Linked DNA regions of Drosophila melanogaster. The protein of the gene in region 3 purifies or fractionates together with the protein of the main gene of each other region. This does not show direct contact. Each region holds a gene or a part of one and is shown on either strand. Other genes may lie near its edges. The genes, in order: vanin-like, Synd and Hibch.

What was found.
Region 1: the proteins of Hibch (region 3) and vanin-like purify together in Drosophila melanogaster (affinity purification with mass spectrometry, with the first as the bait; one large-scale study listed by BioGRID). This does not show direct contact.
Region 2: the proteins of Hibch (region 3) and Synd purify together in Drosophila melanogaster (affinity purification with mass spectrometry, with the first as the bait; one large-scale study listed by BioGRID). This does not show direct contact.

Annotation. Positions count from the first base shown.
Region 1 is NC_004354.4:6,200,891-6,204,643, reverse strand, and holds the start of vanin-like (vanin-like), read left to right. Parts: upstream 1-2,084; 5' UTR 2,085-2,101; coding exon 2,102-2,173; intron 2,174-2,237; coding exon 2,238-2,880; intron 2,881-3,261; coding exon 3,262-3,753.
Region 2 is NT_033777.3:20,830,759-20,834,511, forward strand, and holds the start of Synd (syndapin), read left to right. Parts: upstream 1-2,040; 5' UTR 2,041-2,115; intron 2,116-3,638; exon of another isoform or gene 3,639-3,707; intron 3,708-3,753. Other genes in the region: CG31223 (uncharacterized protein), read left to right, coding at 430-458, 518-1,673.
Region 3 is NT_033777.3:15,355,354-15,359,106, reverse strand, and holds the start of Hibch (3-hydroxyisobutyryl-CoA hydrolase), read right to left. Parts: upstream 1,879-3,753; 5' UTR 1,790-1,878; coding exon 1,787-1,789; intron 1,718-1,786; coding exon 833-1,717; intron 627-832; exon of another isoform or gene 569-626; coding exon 296-568; 3' UTR 1-295. Other genes in the region: Atg4b (Autophagy-related 4b), read left to right, coding at 2,479-3,433, 3,492-3,687.

The DNA.
Region 1 (3,753 bases), on a different chromosome or scaffold from region 3:
TGAGATTAAAACGATAAACGGCATCAGATCTATGTACTATCGGTATTATCGATGAAATTTATCGATGATATTGCAACTGAATGTTTTTTTTTTATTTCTTGGAAGAGCATCCTGTTTTCCTTGTTGGGCGAATTAGATTTCTCTTTCAACCTTTTTGTGCCCCCTCCCCTTTCTTTGCATTCACCCACGTCGGCTTTTGTTGCTGTTTTTGTTGGGACCTCGTCTTAGCTTTTAACGTGTTTTACCGTTCGTTTCTTTTTGCGCATAAAATGAGCAGGTAACAGGCTTGTTGTGTGTGTGCGGGTGTGAGTGAGTGTGTGTGTGTGTGCGTGCACGGTTGAACTCCCATGGGTAAATTTTCGTATTTAAAATATATGACCAAGACATTTTCAAACATTATTTTTTAATTTTTTATTCCTTTTCATTTTTTTTTTTTGCCTTTTTCGTTCTCCTCAGCCTGCTTTGCAAACTTTTTGCGCACTTTTGCTTGCCGCAAATCAATTTGCCAGGACGGGAAATAAGTAGAGCGAAGTGGGGCTGAAAAGAAAGGAAGCGGAAAGGATTGCCGAGTAGACTTTGTTAGTGGAGTTCCCCCGAATTTATGCTGCATCCAACCGGAGAAGACGAACGCCTTTTTCCGGGGGCTTTGAGTCTGCAGTGGAGCGTATGGAAATGCATTAAGTTCCGAGATGACTGCACGTTTTGGGATTTGCGAATGGGATTATCTCGGCACGAAAAGAGATCTTTATACTTATAAATGCTGCTGCATATTTATGGCAACTGAATATACCCGATAATGCTTAAAAGTGGGGGCAATGTCGATGTCGACTCCGCAATCCCGTCGAGTACTTTGTGGCCCAAATTAGCCGGTGGATGGAGTTTGCCACCTATTTTCATGGCTGACGAATAACTTTGGATAGCAATTGATGGAAAAAATGCACAAAATATATAGACAAACCAGACCAAGTTTCGTAAACAAAACGGGTTTCAAAAAATATTTAACGCAATTAGCTTAGCTGTTGCCTATCAGACTCGAATTTAATTCAGTTAGTATGCAAGCAACAATAAAAAAAAAATCATTTCGCAAAACAATGAAATCTTGTCGACAAGTGTTATTTGCCACAATAGCTACAGGTAATTGCAGATAACATCGAAATGTGGAGATAACATCTTAGACAGCTATATAAATATAAATGTTCTGATAACTCGACAACAAATCGAAAATGTGTACGATAAAAATGGATCAATTTGGATATGTCCTTTAGATGCAGAGCACTCAGCTAGTTTGATCAGAACATTTATGACCAACACGTTTTAATAATAAATGCCATAAGAAAAGCCACCTGCCCTGTGGCATAAAAGAAAATCAAAGGAAACCTACTAACATTGGCAGCCCAACTCTTGCCATTTATTTATTTTGCCAATTGTGGTAATGGATGGTAAACATTTAATGGGCGCAAATAAAAGTCAATGTTGTAGTAAAAATCGAGACAAATCAATTGATAAAGATGTCGATCATATAGTATAGTGTCGAACGGAGAGACCATCGGACTTGGCTAGTCTGGGTTGTGGCGATAAGACAGCCGGCAAAATAGTTGGCCCAAGCGCAGCCAGTCCAATGTACAACGCAGCGAACCCACTAATCATGCTCACGGTTAGCGGACATGACTCCCGGAATAGAACAAAGCCAGAATAACCCATAAAAAAAAACCTTTGAAAATTAGCGATTCAACCAATCTTGAGCTGGCTATCTGGCCATTTTCTGGCTTTTTAAGGCAGAAATTCCACATCTTAATTAACTAAGGAATTGATGTAAATGTAATTCTAAAAAGCTTAAATTCCTAGTTCAATAGGGTAAAATATATATATCCTACTCTCTGTGATATTTACTTTAGTTTTAGGTTCATTATCACTGGTAGTATTGCACTGCGAATATTGGCAGCACTGAAAAGAGCGAACCATTCGATGTTCATAGACCAGACCCCAAAGATAAGATTAAGTAGTTCCCGGTAAATGGTGGTTACCACTTCGGTTGGCCACTATAAAAGCCTCGATGCCTGAAGTTGTGCCAGTCATTAGCGATTCTCAGGCTCCATACGAAATGTCGAATACCTGGTGGTGGCTTTCAGTAGTGTTACTAATCTTAGGGCTAATGCCTGGCATGAGTCAGCAGGTTGGGTTTCTAATTGGCAATTGGCAATTGGTGGATTAGTTTTGATGGTTAACATAATTTTCAGGCGGCCCTGGCCGAATCGGATTACTATACGGCCGGAGTGGTGGAGTTCAAACAGTCGATCTTAAGTCTATCGGCCTGGTCGGATTCCCTTGCTGGCTATGTGGAGATCATAAACTCTGAGAACGCCAGTGCCACCGACATCATTGTGTTTCCCGAGAGCACACTGAACTCCGCGGGTTCCACGACCTTTGTGCCCAATCCCGAGGATCAGATAAACCCGTGTTTGAGTGACCCCAATGCCACCTACTATGAGGAGTTTCTGGTGACCCTGTCGTGCGCGGCCCGCAATGCCAGTAAATACATTGTGATCAATCTGACCGAGAAGCAAAAGTGCGAGGATATTCCCGAGGATACGAGGCCATGTGCATCTAACGGACTGAATGTTTTCAACACCAATGTAGTGTTCGATCGTCAGGGAGTCGTGGTGTCCAGGTACCGAAAGGTTCATCTCTATGGTGAAGCAAAGAACAGCACTTTTCTGCCCGAGCTGATCACCTTCGAGACAGACTTTGGGGTCACCTTCGGTCATTTCATCTGCTTCGACATCCTGTTCTACACTCCCGCCCATCAACTCATCGTGGAGCAGGGTATTACGGACTTCGTGTATCCGGCCATGTGGTTCTCCCAACTGCCCTTCCTCACGGGTAAGATATAGACATGGGCGATAAGGAAAGCGGGGGCTAGTTCACTGACATGTGTCTCTTATCGCCGACAATGGATTGCTGATGATGGCTCTCGCAACCTCTCGAGATGGAGTGCCGGGAACCGATTATGCGTTGGTATCAAGGCTGTAAAAACTAAAATGCCACTAATGGCAGGTGATTAAGCAGCACAGCAATGGCTTGTAATTATAAACTAGGTCTTATCGCAGGAGCTATATATTAGAGTCCTGAATGAGTAGGTCAAAAAGTAAGCGTCTAGTTTGCACTGTATGAGCTTTATCTTTTTATGCTTGCCACGCGAATTCTTCGGAATAGTAAAACGAATAGGAAAATATTACATTTGTTAAATGTCTTATTCCACAGCTGTTCAGACGCAACAAGGTTGGGCCTATGCCAACGATGTGAATCTCCTGGCGTCTGGAGCCAGTCGTCCCTCCATTGGCAATAGTGGATCGGGCATCTATCACGGACGTTCCGGCACTTTGACCAGTGTCATGCGCCAGGACTCCGGCGAGAGGGCCATCTATGTGGCCCAGGTGCCCAAGTATACTCGCAGTAGATCCCTGAAGAAACGTGCGAAGAGGAGTCTACAGGAGATCCAAACCCGTCAGGTGGCCTCAAGCTCGAGTTTCTACATGAAGCGCGATTACGTGGAGAACTATGAGTCTGAGTTGCTCAAGTTGGACGAGGGAACTAGTGGTGCTATCAATAGAACCATCTGCCAGGGCAGCTTTTGCTGTAACTTCGACATAGCGTGGAGATCCTTGGGTACAGCGACGGAGAATGGTAGCTACTATAGCTATCGATTGGGAACCTACGATGGCTGGCGCAACGAGAACAATGTGGATGCCAATT
Region 2 (3,753 bases), 5.5 Mb from region 3:
TATATAAGCATTTTCAATCTCTCATAAGTCTTTTTACATTTAAAGTACTTAAATAATATATTATTATTCTCTTTTCATTGATGTTCGTAGTTGATAGGTGTATTGTTTAGTTACAACGAATTTTTGTAAAAAGACTAACTAGTTAATATTTAAATATATTTTATCTTTAAGGTTCATATTTGATATACATAGTTATTTGCTAATAAATTCCTATGTAAAAAACAAGAGAAATTGCGTAATTCAAATTAAATCCAACTCTTATAATATCTAAGTCGTATAATTTGTTTACAAACAACTTTATTTTGTTTACAACAAAATAAAAACTTATCCATTTGAAAAGCCGTTACTTAACGAATCGTGGTTACGGTCACACTACAGCGATCAGCTGTTGGCGACCGCACTATTTTGTTTATTCCATTTTGTTTGACCATGTCGGAAGCCGATGAAAAGTGTCACTTGTAAGTAGTTAACAAGTAATATTAATTATAGCGGTTCAATATATATTAATCTCCTGCAGCTGTCGCGAGGTGTCCTTCAAGTACACCTGTCCCAAGTGCAATGCTTTGTATTGCAGCGTGGGATGCTACAAGTCCAAGGAGCACCTTAAATGTTCCGAGGCTTTCTACAAGTCCTGCATTCAGGACGAGCTGACCCAAAACACGGTAACGCAGGAAAGCCAGGAGGACATGCGGAAAATATACGACATACTGAAGAGGATGAGAGAAACGGACAGTGGTTTCAATCCCCAGGAATTTGATACAGATGGCCTGGAAAATAGTTTGGACTCGGATGGAGGCGAGGAAGGAGAGTCAGAAGAAGATGAGGCGGAAGAAAACGTCACCGAGGGGGACATACTGGATGAAGACCTGGAGGAAGACATTGCAACTCGACTGAAAGGCGTTGATATCAACGATGCGGATGAAGTTTGGAGCCGGTTAACTACAGAGGAGCAAGATGAGTTCCAGAAATTGATCACCAATGGAGATATCATGAAGCTTATGCCAGACTACAAGCCCTGGTGGATCAAGCCGAAGAACTCTAAGATTGTGATTATACCTACACCCGAAGAAGCTGCCAAGAAAGAGAGCCGTGTTCCCGAAATTTTCGGGAGCATTGCCAAATTCTCCGATATATGCAAGAAAACTCCGTCTCCGTGCCTGCACTACAATTTGTGGAACATACTAAGCGCCTACGCCTGTGTGGCTCGTTTCTTTGGCGGCGAACAGAGGACCAATGCCAGCGAGGCAGTGGCCCACCTTGTCAATCTCAGCGCCACCTTAAAGTACGGCACCAACTTCGAGGATGCTGAGGACGCTATTGTCTCCGTAGAGATGGAAGCCATCACCACGGGTAATGGTCCTGCCGGCGCGGCTGCAGTTGGAAGTGCTGCAGGAGGTGCCAATTTCCTCGTCGACAACAGGGAGCAGCTGCAGCAGGATGCCCGCCAGTTGATGGCTACGAAGGAGCACAAGTTGGCCGCCCTTAGTGATGTTCTCTATCTGCTGCAGCAGACGAAGGCAATCAGTCGCCGTAAGAATACCCAGGAAGCCGAGTTCCAGAAGCTGTTCGCTTTGGCCAGCGGAAGTGTGCAATTGGATCGCACCAAACTGGCGCAACTGGTTCGCAAAATCGAGTTTATGCTGTCGTATGTGGCGCGGGAAGAAGTCCTTTAAGCAATCCTCTAAAATAAACATTTCAAAATAATTCTGTTTTTATATTGTCCACAAAATTTGGAGCGGTATTGACTATAGATTGATTGTTATTTTATTGTTTTATTTTACTTGGAATTTAAATACAACTATGTATAATTAGTGTACACATTTTGATTGGAAACTTCAGTATTTTAAGGACTTAAAGAACAAATTGGTTTAAGTAAAACTTGACTTTGTGCTAGTACTGTAACTAGTACTTAAAAATATGTACAGATGTCTTAAAAATAAATGTATATCCTAAATACATTTCGGTATTTTTGTATTCGTATGGAGCGGTATTTTCAGCTAGCCGCGAGGTGTATTTGAATGGTCGCGAAACGGTCACACCTCACATAGTTTTTTTAGTTGGCGATTCCAGACACACACTCGAGTTGTAGTGCTTTTTTACGCTATTTTGTTATTGGTAGGTTGTCGCCCTGCTTCGGTATGAACAAGTGCCAGAGACCCAAAGCCAAGGATTATTTAACAACCATTTAAATGCAGTGCAGCTGCAGCAGCAGCAACAACAAAAGCGATCGCAATTTAGAACAGAACATTTCATGTAAACGCGTTTGGGTGTAGCGGAATTTCGCTTCCCGTGTGTTTGTGTGACCTAGCCGAGCGTGTGTGCGTGTCGGTGTGCGTCTGGCAACAACAAAATCCAATCGGCCAGCAAGTGCTCTTCGTACGCTTCGCCTGCTAAAAATTAGTGCACAGCGAAAGCATTTTAATAGCAGCGCCCCAAGAAAACCTTATGTAAGGTGTGCTGGAAAACGATGCAAATATTTACAGTAGAAACGGTCGAGACAAGTTCAATCTCAAAGATAAACGAGTTTCTTGGTTGTTTGGCGGAGGGGGATTTCTTATCGCCTAAGTGTGCGACGTGTTGGTTTAGATGTGCATATACGTATGTGTGTGTGTGTGTGTGGCGCGAGTGCTTGTGAGAGCGCCGTAAAGGTGCTTATCTATCTCCACAAATATGCGAAGTATGCGTCAACCTGTTTGTAAACTTTCTGCTGGCCATTTCCACACGCAAAACACGAAAATCGCACTGAGCCGCGATCCTATATTTATATTTATAGCCGATGATGGGGAAAATCCGTAAGCGCATCGTGAGTCGATGACGCCCAAATCAAGTCAACCCAAGATACAAGATTCCACATTCAGCAGACCCAACATCACCAATCTACACATGTGTGTAGGTGATTAAACTTCAGCAGAGGTTATTATACATATATAAATAAGAAAGCATGTATATAACCGGTCAATGCTGCTGATAACATAACCGTTATTCACCATACGGGTGTGTGCGAGTGGAACTCAAACTGACTGCATTGTTTACAAACAGCTGATGCAGGGAAACTCCACTCCACTGATAAGATACCAAGATTTCCCATCGCCGAGTATGAAAAAATTTAGCTCGCTACACAGAGAGAATTGAAATGTTAAATGTTGTCACACGTAAGGGTCTCCAATACGATGTACACTGCTGCTCTTAGGTTAGACGCACAATCGTTTTTTTTTTAACAAAATCGATCATTTATTTGCATGCTTTTTTTAATTGTCCAAAATGCTTTTCTTATCAAAGTTTTCTGTTGGTCATTGAATTAGATGCAGCTTAAATTTCTTCGTATTGCGTGGACAAGTATAAACTGTTGTATTGAAAAAATATAACAAATAAACGAATAAAGTGTTTTCGAGCTACATTTGAAGAAAAAATGGGTAAAGCTGCTGCTTATTGGAACGTCAAAAAGTAGACTTCCTACACTCGCAAGGATTGCCTAATCGGAACATTGCCAAACAGATAAATCGCAGCTGCAGAACTGTTGATAGATATTTGAAGGTTCCAGAGGCATATGGGAATAACTTCAAAGGAAAGAAAAAAGCACTATCAAAGCAAGCAGAACGCCAAATTGTTAGAATTGCTTCGAATTCTAATTTTCGAATTTGTCCGGAGTAAAAACAAGCGTATCAACTGTTCAGCGTACAATCAGAAATGCAGAACACCTGAAGCGTGTATGTATATTAAATTTCAAATTCAATTTTTGGGATCTCATTTATC
Region 3 (3,753 bases):
GGTAAATACCGGCGAATAGGATTCTTCCTCGAAGTTATTCGCTGTTGGAATGAAACAGAGAAGAGATTGCGGAAAATTAGCCGACAGAACTCATCAAACTGTGGCCACAGAACGCTAAAGATATATAAAGAATATTGCAAAACGGCAGGCAAGGAACCATGCATAACATAACTCAAGCTTGCAATGATATATACAAAGATATTAAGTTGTGTGCATATAAGAATGAGCGGCTCAACGGAAGACAAACAGGATTGGATGCCAAGGCTCAAACAAAAACAAAACTAAGCTTGCTACATTACAGCTTGAGTTCCTCGGTGTCCGGTAGCTTGCGGAAAAACCACTGCACATGTTCCTCAGTGACATCGGCCAGCTTGGTTGGCTGCCACTGGGGCTTCTGATCCTTGTCGATGAGTAGGGCGCGCACTCCCTCCTTGAAATCACTTCGCTCCAGATGACGCACGGCCAGACGATATTCCATAATAAGACACTGAGCCAGCGACAGCTGTGATCCGAGCTCCAACTGACGGAACGTAACCTTCATCGAGGTGGGAGACATCTTCGAGAGCGTCTAAAACAAAGAAAAAAGCAATGTGTCTGATTTCAATAATAAAATTCAACTCTAATAGAAAAATGCAACAAGGTGTGGGGTGTGAGTTTGTGAGCTAGTGTAACTTATTCAGTTAAGAAAAGTCGTGCAGCAACTAAAGCGTTGCTAATTGGCTGGAAACGGATCAAATATTTAGGCGCTAAAAGCGCGCGTCAAGCGATGATTGGCCCAGCCAATTAACATCCGATTGTGTTCTTATCACTTAGTAAACTGTGCCCCACTCACCTCAAGCGTCTTCTTGGCCCATTCACTGCCATCGTTCTGCAGATTCTCTAGAATCCCCTCCACCGAGTCCGCTGAAAAGTTCTTGTTGATCTGCTCCAGGACAGGCTGCAGCGAGAAGGGCTTTTCTGGCGGGGAATGGTACTTCTGCAGCAGCTCAGGCACATCATCCGCATCCGGGCAGTTAAGGAGAGCCGTCTCCAGATCAGGGATCTTGCTGCTCTCGCAGTAGTGCGTAGCAATGCCTGAGTAATAGACATCGGCTCCGCGCAGTCGATATCCTGTGAGACCCAGATAGAGGCCCAGCTTTCCCTGCAGTCGAGGCAGGAAGTATGATCCACCCACATCCGGGAAGAGGCCAATCGCCGTCTCGGGCATGGCGAACAGTGTCCGATCGCTGGCCACCCGGTACTTGCCATGCACACTCAGACCCACGCCACCGCCCATGGTAATACCGTCAATGATGGCGATGTAGGGAATCTTATAGTTTCCGATCAGGGCATTCGTGCTGTACTCCTCCCGGAAGAAGCTCTTCGACTCATCCGTAGGGCCAGCCTCGACCAGAGCGCGCACATCTCCACCGGCGCAGAAGGCCTTGTCACCTGTGCCCTTGATGATCACCAGCGACTTGGACTTCTCGCACTTCTTCAGGTGCTTGTAGATCTTGCGTACCATCTCCAAGTTGATGGCGTTAAGCGCCTTGGGCCGGTTCAGAATAATCATTCCCTTGTTAGAGGACTCCGTGGCCAGCACGGAGGAGGAGGATTGGCGAACGGAGAGAGCCATTGTTGTTGGTTTTGTTTGGGATATCGTTGCTCCGCCGATCATCGGCAATTGGCTACAGGTGCGATGACCAAATGTGTACACCAACCTTTGAATTGGGCCCTGCTGGACGGCGACATCGAATTGTTTTCGATTAGCTAAGCGCTTCTATTTGCAGGAATTTGCATTACTTACCATTTTGAGCGGCTGTCGTCAGTAATGTTGTGTGTGGGGCGAAGCGAGTGTTTAGAAATTCAGCGTTGCGCAATAGAATTTTAGCACCCGCACAGCTGGTCATTCTTGTCGCGGAGCTGCCAGACCGCACACATGCCGGAAGTAAATAAGGGTGTTCCAGAAATCGTTTTCCGCGTAAAATATTACTATTAAATGGACATGCCAAGGGCAGACCTATACCAGGCGCCTTTTAATTTATTAATTCAAATATTATATGTATAAGAATTTTAGATAAAGATACAAATTGTTTAAAAATAGTTTAACACAAACCTGTTGATAACAAAATTCACTATTCATTTTGAACTCATTAGTAGATAAACGTAAAAAAGAACACACATTACCTACATATTCATAATAGAGCAGATTTGCAGTCTGGCAACACTGAAATTGGCAATTGTACTTCTCGCGAATAAGAAAAACAAATTTCGTGGAGTTACTTTATCTTATTTTGTCAACAAATAAACGGTGAGTAAACATTTGTAATTAGCACGCAATCGGTGGTCGGTTGTCAGTTAAGCCAGGGCCAGCAAGGGGCTCGCACCAAGATTACAATGCCGCAGTTCTTTAAGTTCCGCAAGCTGCGGACAAAGCGTCATAGCTCTTCTACCACTTCCGCCTCTGTTTTCATGTCCTCGTCCACGGCCACCAACCAGATGAACTATGACGGCCTCCTTTCCAAGTTGACCGACGAAAAACTGATGCTCTTCGAAGCCGCCGGCGAGGGGACCATTGTAGAGGGTAGCCGGATATGCGGCCAGGATGCGGATCCGCTCTCCTTGCCGCTGGTGGAGGACGGCGCCATCGAGGAGGAGCAGGCGGCCCCCATACAGACGATTCATCGCACTGTATTCGCCGTTCCACGCGTCCCTTCCCCCTCCCCCGTAAGCACATCAGGTGCCAATCTGAACCTCAAGACGGAAAACGCTGCGACAGCGACTCCGCAGCGCAAAATATCGACGTCATCACGTTTCATGAACGCCTTCAGTCAGCTCTACGGCGGCGGCAACAGCGGTCCGAGCTGCGGTCACGTGGAGCAGCACAACGAGGAACCCGGTGACCTGTCGGCAAACCGTACTCCCACCAAGGGCATGGAGTCCAAGCTCGTCGCAATGTGGCACAATGTGAAGTATGGCTGGAGCGGCAAGATGAGGCAGACCAGCTTCTCAAAGGAGCAGCCCGTGTGGCTGCTAGGACGGTGCTATCATCGACGCTTTACTCCGCCCGTAAGCATGGAAAGTTCCATCACCGAGCTGCCCAGCGGGGCGGATACCACCCCCGATAACGCCACATCGGCGTTCGACAGCATTCAGGCCACATCGACATCAACCTCCTTGTATCCAGCCCTTAATCCGCAGCAGATCGATGAGATTGTGGTGCCCCAGGAACTGGGAATGGACGCGGTGGAGAACCAAGTGGGCGAACAGCCTTGGGAGGAGGGCATCGAAGGCTTTCGTCGTGACTTTTACAGTAGGATTTGGATGACCTACCGTCGAGAGTTCCCAATAATGAATGGCTCCAACTACACCTCGGACTGCGGTTGGGGCTGTATGCTAAGGAGTGGTCAGATGCTCTTCGCTCAAGGACTCATCTGTCACTTCCTAGGGCGAAGTAAGTTAAATGAACCCGCACAAATATGTTTGATTACCAATAAACCTTTATGCTTCAGGCTGGCGCTATGATTCAGAGTCCCAGTTGCACTCGACTTACGAGGACAATATGCATAAGAAGATCGTCAAGTGGTTCGGGGACAGTTCCTCAAAAAGCAGTCCCTTCTCCATCCACGCCCTGGTGCGGCTGGGGGAGCATTTGGGTAAAAAACCTGGCGATTGGTACGGTCCCGCCTCTGTTTCCTATTTGCTTAAGTGAGTACAGATCTTTATCGCTTTTTTAATCTTTATTAAATCAAACAACTCTTCAACTTCACCACA